2 linked regions of the Drosophila melanogaster genome follow. The protein of the gene in region 1 interacts with the protein of each later gene in a pairwise test. Each region holds a gene or a part of one and is shown on either strand. Other genes may lie near its edges. The genes, in order: hoe1 and CG14183.

The links.
Region 2: the proteins of hoe1 (region 1) and CG14183 interact in a two-hybrid assay, tested with the Drosophila melanogaster proteins (one large-scale study listed by BioGRID).

The regions. Positions count from the first base shown.
Region 1 is NT_033779.5:4,927,564-4,936,688, reverse strand, and holds the start of hoe1 (hoepel1), read left to right. Parts: upstream 1-4,304; 5' UTR 4,305-4,596; coding exon 4,597-4,775; intron 4,776-8,295; exon of another isoform or gene 8,296-8,495; intron 8,496-9,125. Other genes in the region: hoe2 (hoepel2), read left to right, coding at 348-576, 779-1,180, 1,254-1,426, 1,504-1,849, 1,905-2,293, 2,351-2,677, 2,730-3,404.
Region 2 is NT_037436.4:20,021,615-20,031,662, reverse strand, and holds CG14183 (uncharacterized protein), read left to right. Parts: upstream 1-3,827; 5' UTR 3,828-3,901; coding exon 3,902-4,637; intron 4,638-4,691; coding exon 4,692-5,016; intron 5,017-5,073; coding exon 5,074-5,363; intron 5,364-5,425; coding exon 5,426-5,582; intron 5,583-5,630; coding exon 5,631-5,894; intron 5,895-5,965; coding exon 5,966-6,123; intron 6,124-6,207; coding exon 6,208-6,791; intron 6,792-6,852; coding exon 6,853-6,957; 3' UTR 6,958-6,976; downstream 6,977-10,048. Other genes in the region: Lamtor1 (late endosomal/lysosomal adaptor, MAPK and MTOR activator 1), read left to right, coding at 2,711-2,791, 2,854-3,017, 3,285-3,418, 3,478-3,548, 3,604-3,696; kug (kugelei), read right to left, coding at 7,178-7,314, 7,376-7,507, 7,681-7,710, 8,024-8,212, 8,271-8,552, 8,615-10,048.

The sequences.
Region 1 (9,125 bases):
CCCCCGAATGAGGCGAGCAAAACATGGGAATCCACAAGAATATTTCGGCGCCTGCGCCATCCTGGAAATCGGCGAATATAAAGCTCCGTGGGACCGAAGGTCGGTGGGTGGTACGATGGCGATGGTTTTCACTTTCAATATTGAAAGCAGCGCCGGCGGCTGAATGGAAACCGAAACCCCGCAACTGCGTCGCGTCCGATTCGGATTTATATTCAGTCGCATTGTGCCTCGCGTGCGGCAAAGATGTCCGCGACCACACCTCGCTGACGACCATCTGTGAAATCTGTGGAAAAGCTCCCACGCTCCGTCAACCGATTTCCTCGCACTTCCCGCCGATTACCAGCAACATGGGTCTGCGGGACACCATTCGTAACCTACGGCCGGCAAGTCCCGGCCGGGAGAAGTCATCGGGCATCGAGCTGCAGCAGCGAAGTCCGCGAGGTGCATGCCACCACAATCAGGTGGCCGCCGTCCAGGTCACGGAGCAATCATTACAGGTATGGCGCGCACTGCCAGCAGAGATTCGCCACGATCCCAGCATGGCCAGTTTTCAGATGGAGAACGAGAGAATCCATGGTGAGTGAAGGGTGTCATTTGAAATTTATGGATGCCTATAGAAAAAATATTAATATTATTTTTCCTCTTTGCTCAGTACTAAGCCATATAGCTAAGCCATAGCCTTTAAATCAATAAACTGTCATACAAATGTCAATCCATTCCCTTGCTCAATCCACGACATAGATAGCTGGTTAATTACGTGACTGCCACTCACTTTTAGGTTCCTCCGGCGGCGCCACTGACGACGAGGATGAGGATGGATACGAGGAGGTGGATATGAAGAACGTCAGTCGCATTCAGGATGAGCCCGGCTCAAGCTTTGCCGGCTCCGACTTTCTGGACATCAAGAACAGGCCTGGTGATGAGAATGCCACCGACGATGAGGTCACCACCCACTCCGATCACGAAGCGGCCAATGGTGGTCCGGGTAATGCCAAATCACAGGCCCGCCGGATTCATCACAAATCCAAGCGTTCCAAGGAGCAGCGACAGCGGGACAAATTGTGGAAACGGGGTGGACTACTTGTATTTTGGATCCTGTCGGCAGTGGTGCTGATTTCGGTGGGCGAAAAGCATCTGCTGGAGAAGACCATTGATGTGCCAATGGGCGAGGAGGGAAAGTGTGAGTTTCCATCTATTTAGTTGATTTATTTTTATTTTTTTAATTTACATTGGAACATTGTTTTTCTAATTAGTTTTCAAGCTGCTCCAAAAACCCACTGGTGACTTCCGCTTGAAGATTCATGGCGCTTTTAGAGAGCTCTCCACGCTGGATGCCCCCGAAAATGAGACTTTGAGCTTTGGATTTCTGACTGTGCAGCCACAGGTGTCCACTTACATTGGCGAGAATCACAGCCAGGTGTTCCAGGTGAGTATTACATAACTACTGCACAATCGAATATAAAGTTGGCAAGATGTAAGCTTTTTTTTTTTTGGATTTTTCAGGATATACTTCCAGCGTGGCGTTTACCACTGCTCTCCGAGGAGGAACTGATGCTGCGTGCTCCGGCTGTGACCACCAATCGCACCTACCAGATGACTCAGGAGTTAGATGAAATGTTGGCTGGAAAGAACAGCGAATTTCGCTTGCATATCTATAGCGATGTGGAGGTGGATTTGGCCATTGTTCTGAACTATAATCCCTTGATAGTGAATGCCAGGACAGGGAGCATCCTGGCTGGTGTAATCCTGCTAATCTTCTATGCACTGCTTGTTTGGGAACTCTTCGAAAGAACCTTTGTGGCCATGATATGTTCCATTCTTTCGGTGACGACTCTAGCCTGTTTTAATGGTTGGTTACAGAACCCGGGTATTTCTTCATTTCTTAATTATTTGAAATTCCCCAGATCGTCCCAATATGGATGAGATTATCCAGTGGATGGACATGGAGCTACTGACTCTACTCTTCTGCATGATGCTGCTCATTTTGATACTGACTGAAACTGGCGTATTCGACTACCTGGCCGTATTTTGTTTCGAGATATCGGGTGGCAAGATCTGGCCCATGATATATAGTCTCTGTTTGGTCACCTGCCTGGTGTCCAGTGTGCTGGACAACATGACAACCGTGCTGCTCCTGACCCCAGTGGCAATCCGATTGTGCGAGGTAATGCAGTTGGATCCCCTGCCCGTGGTGATGGGCATTATAGTGCATGCCAATATCGGAGGAGCCCTGACGCCCATCGGAGATCCCATCAGTATTATAGTCAGCACCAATCACTTTATTGTGGATAATGTGGGTATAACATATAGGTTATGCAAGCTGTTATATAGATTTCCCCTACCTTTTCAGGATGTAACTTTTCCCACATTTGTGGCCCACACATTTCCAGGTGTCATTCTAGCAGTTATTCAAAGTTGTGTGTACCTGCGCCTCTTCTATCACAATATCGATGCACTGCGTCTCAATGAGCCCAAGGAGATGAGTGAGCTGCGTAGGGAGATGAAGGTGTGGCAGAGAGCCTTGAATGCAGTGGCCTCCTGTTCCAAGGATGCCCAGCTGGTGAGGGGAACGCTCCAGGCTAAGATTAAGCAACTGAAAAGGACCCTTAGAAGATTGCAAAAAGGTGTGGGCTCCACGGAGGTCTATACGAATACGCTGGACGAGCTCAAGCAGAAAGTAAGTGGATTTACTGAACTGGGATCTTTATAGCTGAGCAATCCATTTCCAGTACCCCATCAAAAACAAGACGCTGCTTTTGCAATCCGCTGGAGCCCTACTCTTCGTCATTGTTTGCTTCTTCATCCAATCCGTGCCGCACTGGAGGACATTACCCCTGGGTTGGGTGGCCCTGCTGGGTGTGATCCTGCTGCTGATCATCCTCAATCGCGATGACATGGAGCACTTGATGCACCGCATCGAGTGGACCACGCTGCTCTTCTTCGCCGCCATGTTCGTGATGATGGAATGCGTGGAGAGATTGGGAATCTTCGCCTGCATCAGTGAGCTCACCGAGCACGTTATCCTTTCGGTGGGAAAGAGTCATCGTCTGGCCATGGCCATCTTTATGATATTATGGATGTCGGCGCTGGCATCATCCATATTGGATAGTATTCCGGTGGCAGCCATAATGGTGAAGCTGGTGACCTCTCTGGTGGCCAAGCCATCGCTGGGACTGCCCCTCCAGCCACTGGTTTGGGCTCTGACCCTGGGCGCTTCGATGGGCGGAAATGGAACGCTCTATGGCGCATCAGCCAATGTCATTGCAGCCGGAATTGCCGAGCAACATGGCTATAAGTTGTCCTTCACCCGATATCTGAGAACAGTTTTTCCCATGATGCTGGGACAGATCACCCTGATGACTGTCTATCTACTGGTGGCGCATGTGGTCTTTGAATGGCATTGAGACTCCCTATTTAATACACATACTGAATAACATATTATTGTATCTAATGATGGAAAATGTTTTTCACTTCGAATCTAATCGTGTGTTTTTTTGTGTGAGTTTTACTGTAGTCTTTGTCCTTTTACATTCGCCTCTTGATGTGTTTCATGTGTTTTTGGCATATAAAATAAGAATATTTATATTTAAGCGTTCATTTGTGATTGGCAAATGTATAAAAATATACCATAAATATAAAAGTACACATGGTTTTTCGTTCGCCTTCGTGGAATTTGGCTGGACTGATGGAAATCACTTTTGGTAGTCCATCAAGGCGGTGTTTTTAATGTCGTGTGAAATGTTATAAATTTAGACTTTATTGTCTAAGGTCGAAGTGGGGAAATCGTGAAAATTCAACAGGCCATAAATACAAAACGAAGGAAAATTATAGATTTGATTTTCAAATTTCAATAAGAGGCAGTTCTACAAGTATTTAGATACATTTAAAATTCGAAGCGATGTCTGTATTTTAGAGATTTCAAAGCACAATATAAACATATAATAAGTTAAATTATAAATATCATAATTCTCGTGTTTTCTAGTTTATCCCATATGCACCTTGGTTTGGAAAACATAAACAAACGTAAATAATTCCTGAGACTGACCATTGCCAAGTTCAATGTTGACCAGAATATCCGCATATGAAAGTGCTTGCATGTACATATACATATATATTAAAAGCGAGTATATAGCATATAGTATATGGAAAGAAGACAACTGCTGGTCAATAAATGAGAATAAGACAATGTGGAAAAGCAGCGAGGGATTTCCTCGGGTGGTTGTTGCTATTTATTTGCTCTGCTACTGCTGCGCTTTCCACACTTTCCACAGCGCTCGTTCCATAGGTAAATTGTATTTTAAGTTCACAAACAAATGGCCACGAGGGATTGCGAATGGAGGAGGTGAAACGGAGGACCCGACCTGTCCGCCATGTGGAGAGGAGACTGCCAGCAGTTTTATGGCAGCCGCGAGAGGGAAAGTCGTGCCGACAACGACTGACTGAATTTTAATTAATTTGCGCCAAGGAATAAAGTGAAAATTGGAAATTGGCTTATTTGGCCCAGACTGGCCGCCCTGCAGGCCAAATAAAAATGTGATAAGCGTACGAAATTACGCCGAAATCGAGTTGGTTTTTTTTTTTGTAAGGTGAACCAAGATGACATCTCCCTATGGATACAGTAAGCCCACCTTTATGATAACGGACCACACTCGCGATCCGTATCATCTGCAGCCGGGTGATGACGACGACGATCGGGATGAGGATGAGGAGCGTCAGACGAAGCTGCAGGAGATCATCAGTTGGCTGCACTTGAATGCCAAGCATCGCAGCAAATGGTAAGTCGGCCGCATCAAGTATACGCCGCGGGTGGCCCATGCAAGTCAGCTTATATTGATATTAAGTATACGCCCGGTTGGCCACCGCCACTCGAAGTTTGAGTTGTTTATTTGCCCGGTTCCGTTTTCTCATTAGCCTGGCATTAAATTGTGCTGCAGGAGATGATGGACCCAAAACTTTTCCTTTTAATGTCCTGCTAAGCTTCTTAATAACGGTCCATTGGTTGCGACTTGTTTGTTTTCCGAGATGAAATCAACTCGAGGACATTTTGTGGATTTTAAGCCGCTGAGAGCCGCAACAGATGGTTTCCATTGAGATTGATTACAATTTATTTGTTTTTTAGTTGAAGCAGACACAGCAGTTTGTATATTTCATACTCCATATGCGTTGGAATTCCAGCAGAGTAATAAATGCGCTTTTCTTCGAAACTCTGATTGAAATGATACTCCTAATCCGAATTAATCATGTTTTTGTTTTGTTAGGGATTTTTTCCATTAGCTTGTGGTTATAACAAAATGCCAGGCACGAAGGTATTGTTGTATGCAATTTGTGTGAATAATTCGAAGAATAGTTGGCATATACCCATTTCCAATCCAAGCCAATCTTTTGTTCGAGCAATTCGCTTCTGGGAACTACCATTCGATATAGGTTGCTTATAATCGATAATGTAATACCTTGGACACGTGCAAAATAAACTGAAGTACGCAGTGCAATGTGGAGATTATAAATAAACAATGGGGAATAAATATTGACTTGCGTTGCATTATATTATTTTATTTATAGTTCTCTATTTCCGTTGGCAAATACGTGGTTCAGCAGCCTCCGCAGCTGTTTGTAGGTTTTTTTGTATTAAGTTAAGCATTCGAATTAAGTGTCGTATTCAAATTAGTGCACTCACTCCCACACAAAAATTATCGGTGTAGTGAAAACCTAGGGTAATGCGAATTACATACGCAGTTGGTCCTCAATTAAAAGTTCCGCCTTGTTAATTAACAATTAAAGGGAAAACTCGAGACGGTAAATCACTGAGTTCTCTGGTTTATAGCGCAGTTACACTTGGTTGCAATAGAGAAGGCTGCTCATAAATATACAGGGTGTGTGGAGTCGACTTACATACTTGGGAGCATTATAAAGCATTCATAAACAACGAATAATAAACAACAAAATATGTACAATAAGCAACAGAATTTCATACAGAAAATGATATATTTATATAAACTTAACGATTTTTCTTATAACTAGTTTCCGGGACACCCTGTTTCCATTTGACATATTCTTGACAATCAAACCTGAAGTGAGCTTAGCTTATTATATAAGCGCTCGTTATTTACATAATTATTGTTTATTTACTCACGCTGAGCATTTGTTGTATACATCTACGTCTTGACCATGTGTAGAATCCACTAAGTACTGTATGCATATTGGTTGCAATTAATTTGCATTTTTGCATTGGCTGATACCAAGTAATTACAGCTAACACATCGATAATTGCCGTTGGCCAATTGGCAAAGTTTATGGATACTAAAGAAAAGAGGGAAGGGTTAAATACAGTTGGGATTATGGGCTATAAGTTATTCGCACTGACAGCTAAACACTTTGATGTGGCTGCCCATTTTTACGCTGACTTTCTGACAAGCAAATGAAAAGTCATTCAGTAGTTTCAAGTCCACCCAGAACCACGTGATCCCTCCACGGAACATGCAACCCAAGTTTGGTGGTCCCACGATGACATACATATATGTATGTAGAGATATGTGTGGAAACTTGTCAATGGTTTGTTGGGTGGGTAGCTTGGTGGCATGAAGGAGGTGCGAATAACTATCCCTGTACATGAGGGTTTTCCGCTCACAATTTTCCAACAAACTGTAAATACACTTTTTCTGGTTGCCAAGGGATGAGCTTAGGGGCTGTAAAAGTTCCGGCTTGAATTTGGAATGTACTATGTGTCTCTATGGGGGCCAACCTTTGAGGCACAATTGAGTGGAAATGAATTATGTATTAGTTGTTATTATGAAATGGAATGTACTCAATAGCTTGGCTTATGTGGTATTACAGTTTTCAACCAACTATATTAATGTATTAAGAACGGAAATGTTAAGAGAAAGTAACTGCTGATAGCATTTAACCCATATAACTCCGAATCAACTGCACCCATGCCCCATATTATTCAGATGGATAAGCCGCAGAGACCTTGGGCGAAGATACAATTGTTATTGGAAGAAACACACCTATTGCGTCTCACTGTGGATATCATCAGCGTTATTATTACTATTATTGCCATCGTCTTATTGAATGTGGGTGAGGAAAATTGCGGAATAAAAGAGCATTAATATTCCAGCTTTAAAGTCGCTCAAATGTCAAACGGCTCGTGGCGAGAAATAATATATATATACACGAGTTCACTTTGAGTTCCTTGGAGTGTGTTTGCGTTTCATTGTCCGTGGCATTAGGGTTTTTGGGATTCGGATTGGGTCTCGCATTTGGATTGAGTTGGGGCACAGCAGAAGCTGTTTGCTGATAAACTCGCCTTTTGTCTGCCCATACAGAAGATACAAAAACGTACGAGAATGTGGCACACAAACCACACATGCAAATGGAACCGCGCGTGGACGTCTATATTGTCGGAATTGGAAGCTTCAGTGGGATTTATCAACTTTGGCCTATAAATAAACAAGCGGACGGCCTTAAATTTGATAAAGCTGCCTTTTTCTGCAGATTTCACTTTCGTTTCTGAGAAAGCCTCGAGAGCTTTCGGCGTGATTCTCTTAGTTACATACTCGTAAATGCTGTATCGTCTCATTTCCATGACTATTTTTGGGCTGTATGACAAGTGATTTAAATTCGCACTAATTGCTCGACCGGTTGCTCGTGGCTTCTAAGCTCTGAATAGCATTAAGTCTACCGATTAATTGAGCAGACTTAAGTTGGAGTAAACAAATGATTAGATTGTGTGAATCACATGTATTTATTGCAGATTCACCACCCATAATAACTTATTGAATACAAAATATTTTCAAGACATTAGACAGAAACAAAGGTAACCAATAGTAACCGAATATATATGTTATTATTAGACTTAAGTGACTTAAGGTTCTATAAAATAATAATTAGCTATAATTAACCACCGATACAAATTAGTTGTGCGTGAGATACTTTTAAAGCACTCTTCTCATAAAATAAACAACTAAAATTCTGCCGGTCTAAAAGACGCAAGTTCAAGTTGTTGGCCATTGGAATCCGAGCGATTCCAGCTGAAAAAAAAACCTCGAGGCATTCAACAGCTATTGAAAGCAGCCAAGTTCCATTCAATTCTCGGCGGCGCTTTCAATGCGCCGTTCAACCGAAAACAGCTGCGACTTCGGCGCCGCACGAAGTAGCAACATGAGTATCGGAATAAGTAGCTATAGCTACGCCTGCATGGCATCGGATCGGCATCGGATGGGCATCGGATGGGCATCGGAATCGGAATCGGCAGTAACCGGCTGAAATAACTAGGAACGCGGCGCCGAGTCCGCAGATTTATTCAGTTTACAACTTTCGCTCGAAACGGACGTGCGACTTTGTCCGGCAATCCGCGTTCGAGTGGCAAACAATAGCTATACAAATAAATAGTAATCAAACAAGCGAGTGCACAATAGGGGCATAAAACAACAACAAGAGAAAAAAAAAGTAATTCAAACCTAAAGTGAGCTTATCATCGAATCTAACTTCTTAAGCAAGTGAGACTTTTCTTGGAAAGTTCAGGGTTGTGGCTGCAGCAGGTCGCTAGACAATCTAAAGGAGATAAAGGCACATTTAATTATGGAAATTTTTCCTTTGTTTCACGCGTATTTCCAGTTTCTTATTACCTCGGGATAATTTTGCTCATTAGGCGGGCCCAAAAAGAAGCAATTCCTTTGCATTAAGCGTTCCTAATTAGTCTGCTTCTGACTTTCTGAATAATTGCCTAGCGTCTGGTGACCGCAATGCACATCTATATATATTTATATATATATATCTAAATTAATTGAAGGATTCCCCAGGATTCAAGTACGTTTTCTATGTGGGAATCGTTGCACTTGGTATTCACAAATTGGTGGCTAAACATTCAGCCATTCGATGGCATGTGAGCAGGTCCTTCGGACTAAATTAGCCTATCAGTTGCTGGCAAATATTTCATAATTTATGGATCGCCCCTTTTTGGGCCCAACCCAATCAATAATTGACCACTGACAGGCCACGCGAATAAGTAATATATTCCGCAGGACAAATTGATTCATCAGCATAGCATCATCGTGTGGTAAACTCAAAATATGAAAATGGAAATGAAAATGAATAGAGCTCCCCCAAAAAGTAGGCAACAACGAAAT
Region 2 (10,048 bases), on another chromosome or scaffold:
CTGGGATCGATATTTTACATTATGTTTGTTTGGTTTGCAGCGATTATATACCCTGCAGTTACATTCATTACGTTTTCAGCAGCGAATCGCCACGAAGTATGTATCTCGACCTCTCAGTTTGTTTGTAAGAAAACTATTGATGATTTTAAGATTAATTGTTTTCCCGATTTTGGGATAAGTTATAAGTTTGAGTTGCGATGAATTGTGGAACTGTAGGGTATACTACTATATAATATAGAATATATCAATATATTTGTATATTTTTTAATGACTGCAAGAGTCGCTTTTTCTCTTTTTTTTCTGGGCCATTCCGAGTTGATCGTTCACCTCTAATAAAGCTGCATAATCAGGTTCAACTTTATCGCCTCCCCCGACGTTTATGGCCAGATGCAAAGGCTCGCCGAAGGGCCAAACTGCTAACCAAGTCAACACCGACAATCTGGGGCAAAAAGTTTCTGGAGTTGTGGGACGCACAACTTACACGGAAAGAAAATTAGATGTCATATGGTCAGTACATAGACTCTATCATTTCGGATTCATGCATTATAAGCAAATCTAGTATAACACCTTTGACATAAGTGAAAAGGGAACAAATCCTTGTTAGAGTATTAATTCAAATCCAGTATATATATCGACCCTAACTTTCTTACAGCGCAGTTTGCAGATGCGTCCGCCCAGCAAAAATGTAAAGTCTTGTGCATAAAAGTGTTGTTCTTCCCGCTGTAAGTTTGCGCGGCACTATTTATCCGCCGAAGTGGAGGTGGACGGAGGACTATGTGGCCTCCGGATGCCTTGCGCTTTGCATACTGAAACCGCTGTGGTGCCGCACTTCTGCGGCAGGACGAGGGTATGGGTTTTGGGGGCGTGGCTCCGATAATCCGCAGCTATTCGATGTAAACTGCGTTTCTTTGTCGATGCAACAATGAGCCGGAGAATTCTGAACCTGAAACTGGCTGGAAGTCGAAGGCCCTAGATAAAACACCAGCTGAATCCAATCAGCGGCGACTGGTGCCACCCCGTGGGCAATCAAGTGGCAAACTGCTTCGCGGGTGCTCATTAAGTCGTTAATGTGGTTGAGGTTTTTTGCCTACAGTTCCGCCGAACCACGCCCATCCAGACCAAATGAGCTAGCAGAAATTGAACTTTGCAAAGCCATCAAATTAAATAAATACTGAATATAGTGTTTCCTCACAAGTGAAATGCTAAATGCTCTTAGCATAAAAAATAAATATAATTTATTAAAAAAATTTTATGTATAATGCATAATTTGTATATAATATTTGTTTTCCTGGCTGGTTAGTATATCATCATAAATCTAAAAACAATGGACTTACTCAGCTAATGAGCTGTCTAGATAAAACCCAACATCCTCGAAGGAAATCCCTTAGATGGCGTATCGCAAAATGACGATGTAAGATGCCTATTCCCGGTCGGCAAGCCGCAGACATATGCACCTCCTTAGATGTACTGATCGATATCCTTTGGGGCCGTGTGCAGGCGCAGGATAATTGAATTTGAAGTGAAGCTGCTCCTTGTGGCAGTTATGAAATTTCTAGCCCGGCTTCCGCTGCCAGGGAACGGAAACAAAAGCGGGGCAAAACGAAGTTACAAGTTGCCAGCAAGTGTGAGTGTGCGTCTGGCTCAATATATGGGCATGGTGCCGGGTCTGGAGGTGGCGCAAAGGATCAGGATGCGATGACGAGGCCCACATCAGTGCTGCCAGGAGGAGACAATAAATTCACTTAGGCGGCGGAAACAGAAGAACAAACTGAAGGGAAAACTCAATAAATTAGACCGTATTGGAGAGAAAAACTGTTTTTTAACGGCCATATTAAGTTTTAAATTCTTATGAATCTTGAACTTTTTCACTCTACGTAAGATATTCGAAGAACATCAGCCCATTCAGAAACCCCAATATTACACATTATGTTATTATGGTTTTACATTTTTCAGAGGTTCTTCTTGTGGAAAGGATAGCAAAAGCTGTCAGCACTGCCACACATGCCCCCATGTCATGCAGCCTCGGCAATGAATTTGCGTTTCCGCCTCGCCGCTTTCGCCATCATGGTTAACCGCGTCGTTGATTTAAGGGCGTTCTCCGTTCCTTGCGAGTAGCTGGCGTACTCCGCATCCTTTGTCCTTACTGCTCGAGCGACACAATTAAAAATGTGCGGCCCAATTCATTTGATTGGCACGAAGGAAGCGACGAGATAAGCAACTTCCGTTGGCTGAAATTTTGGCATCTTCATCAATCAAGAATGTGCTCGTTCTCGTGGGCTGGCTGTTGGGGAAAATGTCATATAGGTTGATAGAAAAAACAGCAATATAAATATTTCAAATTAATAATTGATGTCTACCAAAAGCAGTTAAATTTTTTAATATCTTCACAATTATTGCCGATTTCCAATAAAAATATAACAAATTAATAAAGTATAAATTTAAATCAACTTAATTCCCAATAAAAAGTATTTCATAATAAATAAAACAAGGATAACGCTAGGAACAGTAAGTAATAAACTAGTATTCCCTTATGAAAACCCATGAATTTAATGTCCGATTAAAATTGTAATATTTAGCGCCTAATCGATAACAAGTATGTATACAGCTGTTTTAAACTGTCTGGTAGCACTGATCTTATCGAATATGTACAATTCCATCCCTAGAAAAACTTGCATAAAAAATAAAGAACAATTGAACAATTGCATTTAGAATGGAGTATGTGCACTCTGTTTGGAGCTACCTAGCCTCGATCTGCAACTGCTGGCAATGCACCGAAGATCCAGGTGCGCAGGTAATCCGCACATTCCCCTTTCCCCGTCAACAGACCGAATACACAATGCGTTCCATCTGCAGCCCAACGAGCCGAACGAGCGGACACACCTTCTCGTGGACCCGGTGAACCATAGTCCTGCCCTTCGACGGAGCAACTCCGATGGCCTCAGCACCGACTACGCCCACTCCCTTCCCAAGAAGGACGATCAGAACGCCCTCTCCAGACTGGTGCAGAATACTGCGATGTACGTAGTTGATAGTGTATAGGGTCCACATTTGGCACTATCATATACAATTCCATTGATTGGAATGCTAGCATTTTACAGCGATTGCTATACTATACTATACTATAGTAGTATACCTACGTAGTTATAGCGATGGCAGGATCTAGTATGTAGTATGGTTATACCCAAGCATTTATCGGGATGTTCAATGCAACAAAGCAACACAGCCCTAATTATCGCTTATCTATATTATATTTGTATTCGCTTATACGCTACTTTGCTCTCCAGAAACATGATAAACGTTGGAGCCATGGACTGTCACAGCCTGGAGCACCAGGAGTACGCCGATAGAATAAGATTGTACTCGCAGCGGTTGCATCAACAGTGGAACAACGGCCAGCACGCCAGTATCGCACCAAAAGGTTTGCAATATAGCTAGATTGAAAGGGTGAATGATGACTAACAATTAAATGAACAACAGGTCTCCTTAAAGATGTACCAAGCCATCAGTTCTATCTGTCTAAGCCAACCTATCCAGATGACACTGCTCAAGTGAGTTTTACTTTTCGCAAATTGCTTGTTGCTTACCAATTTCGTATGTTTTTAGATGAAGCTCTTCACCGAGAAGGCACACATCAGTGTCTCGCACATACAGATCGACCACAAAGAGGCCGTGGTTGTTCCCTTCCGGATTCCCTGATTATCGTATCTTAAGTGAAATAAAGTGATAAATTTATATAAAATCAAAATCTATATTGGTACTAAGTAGCCCTTGAATAACCAGGTAATCGACTTATTTTCATTAAGTGTACAGAAGCAAATAAATACATACTATATTCTTAACACGGCAAGACATTTTTTTTATTTAGGAAGGCACACACACACACATATAGCTAAAATCCAAAATGTCGTTCGATCTTAACCATAAATTTTGGGTCTACACGCGCAAGGAAATTGGTAAATTAATCAAGAAGCAGAACCGCCTGAAGAAGATTGAGCCGCCAGAGGAAAAGGCAGTATCGTATAAAATTTACGCAGAGCTCTATGTTTTGTATGTGGAGCTGGTCAATAAGTTAAGTTTCATATACCACAATACTTTCCAAGTGCAAAAGCGGGCATTGGTACGTGTTTTGGTGGAGAATGCCACTCAGCAGCTAATGCAACTCAAGGAGGAGTTAAAAGACTTGGAAATGAGCGAATACATTTACATAGATAAGGCGCTGATCGCTAGGAAGCTAACACCACGGGACCTGGTCGTATGGAGGTCACCACAATTCCTTTACCGTCGCCCGTTGGACATTCAAAATATCATTGCCGACAACCGATTGTACATGAACGATGAGGAAAAGGAAGAAAAGGCAGCCCAGGATTGGGTTCCGATCAGTGAGGCGGTCAAGCTTATCCAAGCTCACGAGAGGGCGCGCCGAGCTCGGGTTTACAAGTCCAACATAAAGTACGACAAGAAAAAGTTCCTCAAGGTCCATCAAAGAAAGAAAATAAATTACAAATTCACCTTTAAGCCTGATCAGGCAATGAGTATTCCCGTGAAGAGAACCATTTTTTCAGCTGACTTCTTGAAGGCGGACGAGTCCTGCGAAAATCTTATCAAAAAGGATGATGTAGCGGATACCGCAATAGATGGCAAGTAGCTAGATCGTTTCAAAACAATTAATTTGGTTTTTAATTATTTTCTAGATGAGGAAGCCTTAAGTGCAATACAGAACAATGCTGCTTGTAAAATCCAAAGTTGTTGGCGTGGTTACAAGACGCGGAAAATAGTTAAGATTAGGAAGCGGTTCAAGGAGGAATTGTATGGTATGAAGAAAATTAGGAAACTGAAGCGACCCAATCAGACGGCAAATTCTATTATGGAAATGTACAAGAACGAGATGCTCAAGAAGAAGCTGGATGAGGACTTCATCAACTTGATCAACGATGAGCGCACCCGATTGCTGCAATTCCGAAGTCCATGGATGATGGAAGATATATCCGATCATATCCGGGCATGGTTCAAGGAATTGTGAGTTGTTTTTCATTGAGGCAAAAAAGGCAAAAACGTATAACTCGTACTTAACAGCTACGACGCGACTGGGAATTTTCATCCTTATCCCGATCCTGTAAAACAAGGAACGGTACTGGTTGTCATTGATGAAACAATGACGCCAATGGAATTTCAGGAAAGCCTTGGTAAAAAGCCGCTGTCAAAAGCCGAGTTGAAGAAACTTCGCGATAAGGAGAAGAAAGAGAAAAGGAAAAAGAAGGAAAAGCTAAAACAACTGAAAATGAAGGAAGCTAAACGTCGGAAGAAATTGAGAGACGCTGGAGTCATCGATATTGGCTACGAGCTAACTGCAAGCAAGGCAATTGGTAGATAGTTTGACTTAATGGAGAATGTTTCCATTGTCTCCAAATACTCTCTTCAATTTTAGAAAACATTGAAGAAACAATGAAGAAGTACTCCAAGGACTGGAGAAATGTCGATGAATATCTAAACAAGAATCATGATCCCATCAAGGAATGGGTTACTGAGGAGCAACTGGCAAAGATTCATCAGGAAGTGAGGGGCTTGGTCGACGAATACATGAGGTAAATTTATTTATATTTACAATGAAAATATAACTTTTCAACTTCCAGGGTTGAGTATGAGTTGCTGCGGGAGGCCTTGGCGAAGGATAACGATGAGAAGTACAAGGCTCTCAAGGTGAAGTATCCTAAGAAGAAGAAGGAGAAGAGGAAGAAGAAGCCCAAGGACATGACAGGCGATCGGACACTGGAATCCCTGTACAATGAGCTCAAAGATGCCGGCATAATAGAGGAAATTGGTCATAGGGACTTTGATGAGTTCATAACGGACTTCAACTTTGTGGCAGACGACACTCGAGATGAAGATGGCTTAACGTATGTTGTAGTTATTTGTTGAAAGAGCTACTAAGCCTAACAAAAAAAATTAATATCGATTTAAAATTCAGCACATTGGGCCCAGCAAAGGGTGACATTAAAATGGTTATCCAAGAGTCGATGCTGGGAATGGGCGAATTCGATGTTCCGAAGCCGAAGTCTCTTTTGCTAATTGGACCTCTGAATAGCGGAAAACGATTGCTGTGTGAAATCATTGCATCCGAACTAGGTATAGTAACATTTTGTTGGGAATTGTTCTTTTTTTTTTTTTTTTTTTTTTTGTCGGAGCACTTAAACCTTCTGTCTACTCCAGATGCAGTTTTTATGAACCTAAGTCCCGAGAATACCTACAAATATGCCAAAGACTTGAAGTACTTCCTGCATGTTATTCTAAAAGTGGCTAAGGCTTTTCAGCCCACCATAATGTACATCGAGGAAGCGCATAGACTATTTTGGAAAAAGGTTCCGCCTGAGGCAGTGGAGATTAACCCCAGACTGCTGGGCACCTCGTTAGCTAGCAAGATCTTGAAACCACTGAAGAAAAATGACAAAATTGTACTAGTCGGCACGAGTAACATGCCCTGGGCGGCCAATGGAGGCATCAAGCGAGCGTTCCAAAAAGTACTGCTTATTCCGAAGTGCGATTACGGCACTAGCTTCCTGCTGTGGCTGGAACTGATGACCGAGAACGCGCCAGATGACATGAAGGAGTACGCCTACTCGGCACTGGCACGCGTCCTTCAGGCGTACAACTCCGGCGACATTGATGATAACGTTAAGGAGACCTTGAACATCGACCGTAAGATGCGACTCAAGAATGAGGCATTGGATCCGAACGAGTTCCTTGAATATTTCCTGAGCAAGAATGAGCCTCCCATTTTCCCTCCAGATGAGAAGGTATACTTGCTTACTTAATACATGTTTAGCAACTAAGTCATTTAACTGAAATTCTTTTTAGATAATGGATAAGTTCAATAAATGGTTCGGCAGCTCAAACAAGCTGGAAAAGCTGAGAAAATCGTATATGGCTCAAAAGTTGGCGAAGGCAAGCAAAAAGAAATAAATAAATCAGTTTAAAACTTATTTAAATATGCATTTTCATATATAACTATTTGTAAGTGTAAACTTACCTTGGCCTTAAACTAATGATACTATGGAAGTGCAGATGTTCTTTGTGTCTTTTTTATTGAAAATATATAACCAAAGTTTTCCTATGGAAAATAGTATCTAACGAAATGAAATAATTTGTGTAAAATGTAGTTCTTATATATTAAGCATGTCATTTAATTGTTTGTTTGTTGTTGTGGTAAAAACTCCTCCAACTCAGAATCTTCAATTTCACACAGTCGAACCGAAATGTTGCTGTTGGATCCAATTTCTCCGACAGTGCATGGAAATAGGTATGCCTCCTCTGAATTTTCTGCATAATTAGAGAGAATCGTGATATTTGTAAGATATGTAAAGGCATTTCCCTTGCTTACCACTTATCGTCCTCCTGGTTTTTATTTCCATCCTAGAAATCGGCCCCTCGGTCATAGAGCTTTCCCCATCGGTCTCACTTGGAAAATGCATCGTCGGTAAATACGAATCAGGATGTCTTAAATATACTTTGCCTGTGGAATAGATCAGATATGGACATTTTGAAGTAAGATTCTTGTAACATTTTATGTGGTTAATATGCAGTAACAAATATTTTTAATTTAATACAGGTTCAGTATAAAAAAAGCATTGACCTAAATTTATAAATAACCATTGGACTATTACTTATAATGAATACAAAACTTACACGAATGACTAACTTTCGACGGTAAAGGCACTGATTGCATGAAATGAAGTAGTTTAATAGGTTAGTATACAAAGATGTTATTTGTTAGAAAGTTTAAAGGAATAACAAAATTACTTATAAGAGGAAAGAGTTAGATATTGTGTGCAATATGTATTAAATAAATTGTTGAAATTATAAAATGAAAAATGAACTGCGATTTTGTAACAGCCAATAAGATAAATCAGCTTGTTATGAACATAAACATGAAAACGTTTAGTGATAATAATCAATTCCTTTTTTTTTTTTTTTTTTTTTTTTTTTGTATTTTATTAGATGCATTTAACATTTTAACGAAGGGTTTTACCTGTATTTGATTTATAGTCTTCATTCTCGATATTATTAAAAGAACTCAGTCTTGAAAGTGGCTGATTACTTGATCTTGGCAACATAAACGGCTCCAAGCAGCTCTCTGCCTCCGAGTCCAAATACTCCGATCCGATATCCTCATTCAACGCGGCTATATCCCTCGTCGGATCAACATCTCCGTCTTCCCCTTTTGGTGGTGAAATCAGTTATTGGTCCGGGAAACGAGTTTTAAATTCTATACTTACTGTGCACGAAAAAGGCTTTCTTCGACTTGGACTCGTTGCTATCGTTGCTGTGTAAGCTCGACGAATCAGCTATTTCTGCTCCAGGAACTTCGGTTATATCTGGCAAGGGATTATGGCTTTTGCGAACCCAGTCGGAACAGTCCCAATGATACTGACCATTGGCAAGAGCTGAATAATCAACGAAATTCGCACTGGAAGAGTGGCACACGTTGGGCATTTCAACTTGGATTAGTTTCCCAGTTGAAAAGCGACTCACAGATGGTCCGAAATCCCGTTTAAGTTCTGAAATAAAGAGCAGGTTAATATTTGCTTTTGCTATCTGACACTAAGAGGCATTGACTTACCATTGTTCAGTTTATTTTCACTGAAGGTTCTTAAATGCATTTGCTCGCACCATTCTTGTTTGTAGGCATTATCTGCATCGGTTGAATGGCAGGAGTTTATGTTCACATGCTGTTTGTTTCGATTAACCTTCTGGTACTCGAATGGCACATTTTCCAGTTCATCGCCGGCCGAACCGTAGCTACGCAAGATGTCTAAGTTATTTACAAAATTCCTATTGCTCAGGACTAGGTTGTCATTTGGAACTGCTGTGTAGCTAATTGGACGCTGGTTAACCTCCAAGTTACTCAACTTTACGTTTGGTTTGCAGTAATTGTCCTTGTCCACCAGTGAGTTCAAGTTCGCCTCCTTGTACGACGACTTGTTCTTGTCCTTTTCTAGTCGGTTCCTTCGCTTTGAAGAGGAACTCCTCTTCAACACCACGCAACACAGGACACAACTGATGATGACCAGTACCACGGCCACGCCGGAAATGATCCCGCTAATGTGCTCTATAGAAAAGTTCTTCAGCTTTGTAGAAATAGAGTTCGAATACAGGGGATCGCCGCAGCTGGCTCCTGTGAGATAAGATGGACAAATGCAACGGAAACTTCCGGGTTCATTGATGCAGGTCGCTCCATTGCCGCACGGCTGGTTCTCGCACTCATCCACATCGATCTCACAAGTGGGTCCCGTGTAGCCGCGGCACATGCAGTGCGATATTCCATCGCCTTCCTCGCAAATGCCACCGTTTTTGCACGGGTTCGGCGTGCAGAACTTGCCGTACTCACACCTCTTTCCGGATAAGTGGATGGGACACGTGCAGCTGTAGTTGTTCGGTCCGTGGTAGTCGCACCTGCCGCCAAACAAGCAGGGTCCCGATGAGCAAGGGTCCAAATCAATCTCGCAATGCTTGCCGGAATATCGGGGCTGACAGGCGCATTCAAACACGTCCGTATCGAGTTCCTTGCAGATTCCACTATTGGCACACGGCTGAGATCCGCAAATGCCCAGGCGCACCAGAACATTCGACGGATCGCACTTGAACTCGACATTCGTAAAACGTTTCAAGGCAGCAATGGTACTCCCACCGGAAATGTACAATGGCAGCGACTCTTTGGCTATTTTGATGTTTGCCATGCAACCGATGAAGCCACGCTGAATATCCTCGTAGCCAATTATCGATGGATGCGGACGAACCTCGGCGCCTACAAAGATATCGTTCGACTGGATGTTCAGGATGCCATTCACACCCGGAGCACTGCCATGGGAGACGTGCTTGTTGTCCACCATCACTTTGGCACTATTGAGGGACCGCTCTAGGCTGATTTGATGCCACTCGCCGTCAGAGATGTTAATGCTGGACACACTGATGACTCCCTCGCCCGAGCCCAAATCGAATCTGTACTGAACAGCTCCGTTTATGATCTCCAGGATGTTGTAGTCCACCTTGCCGC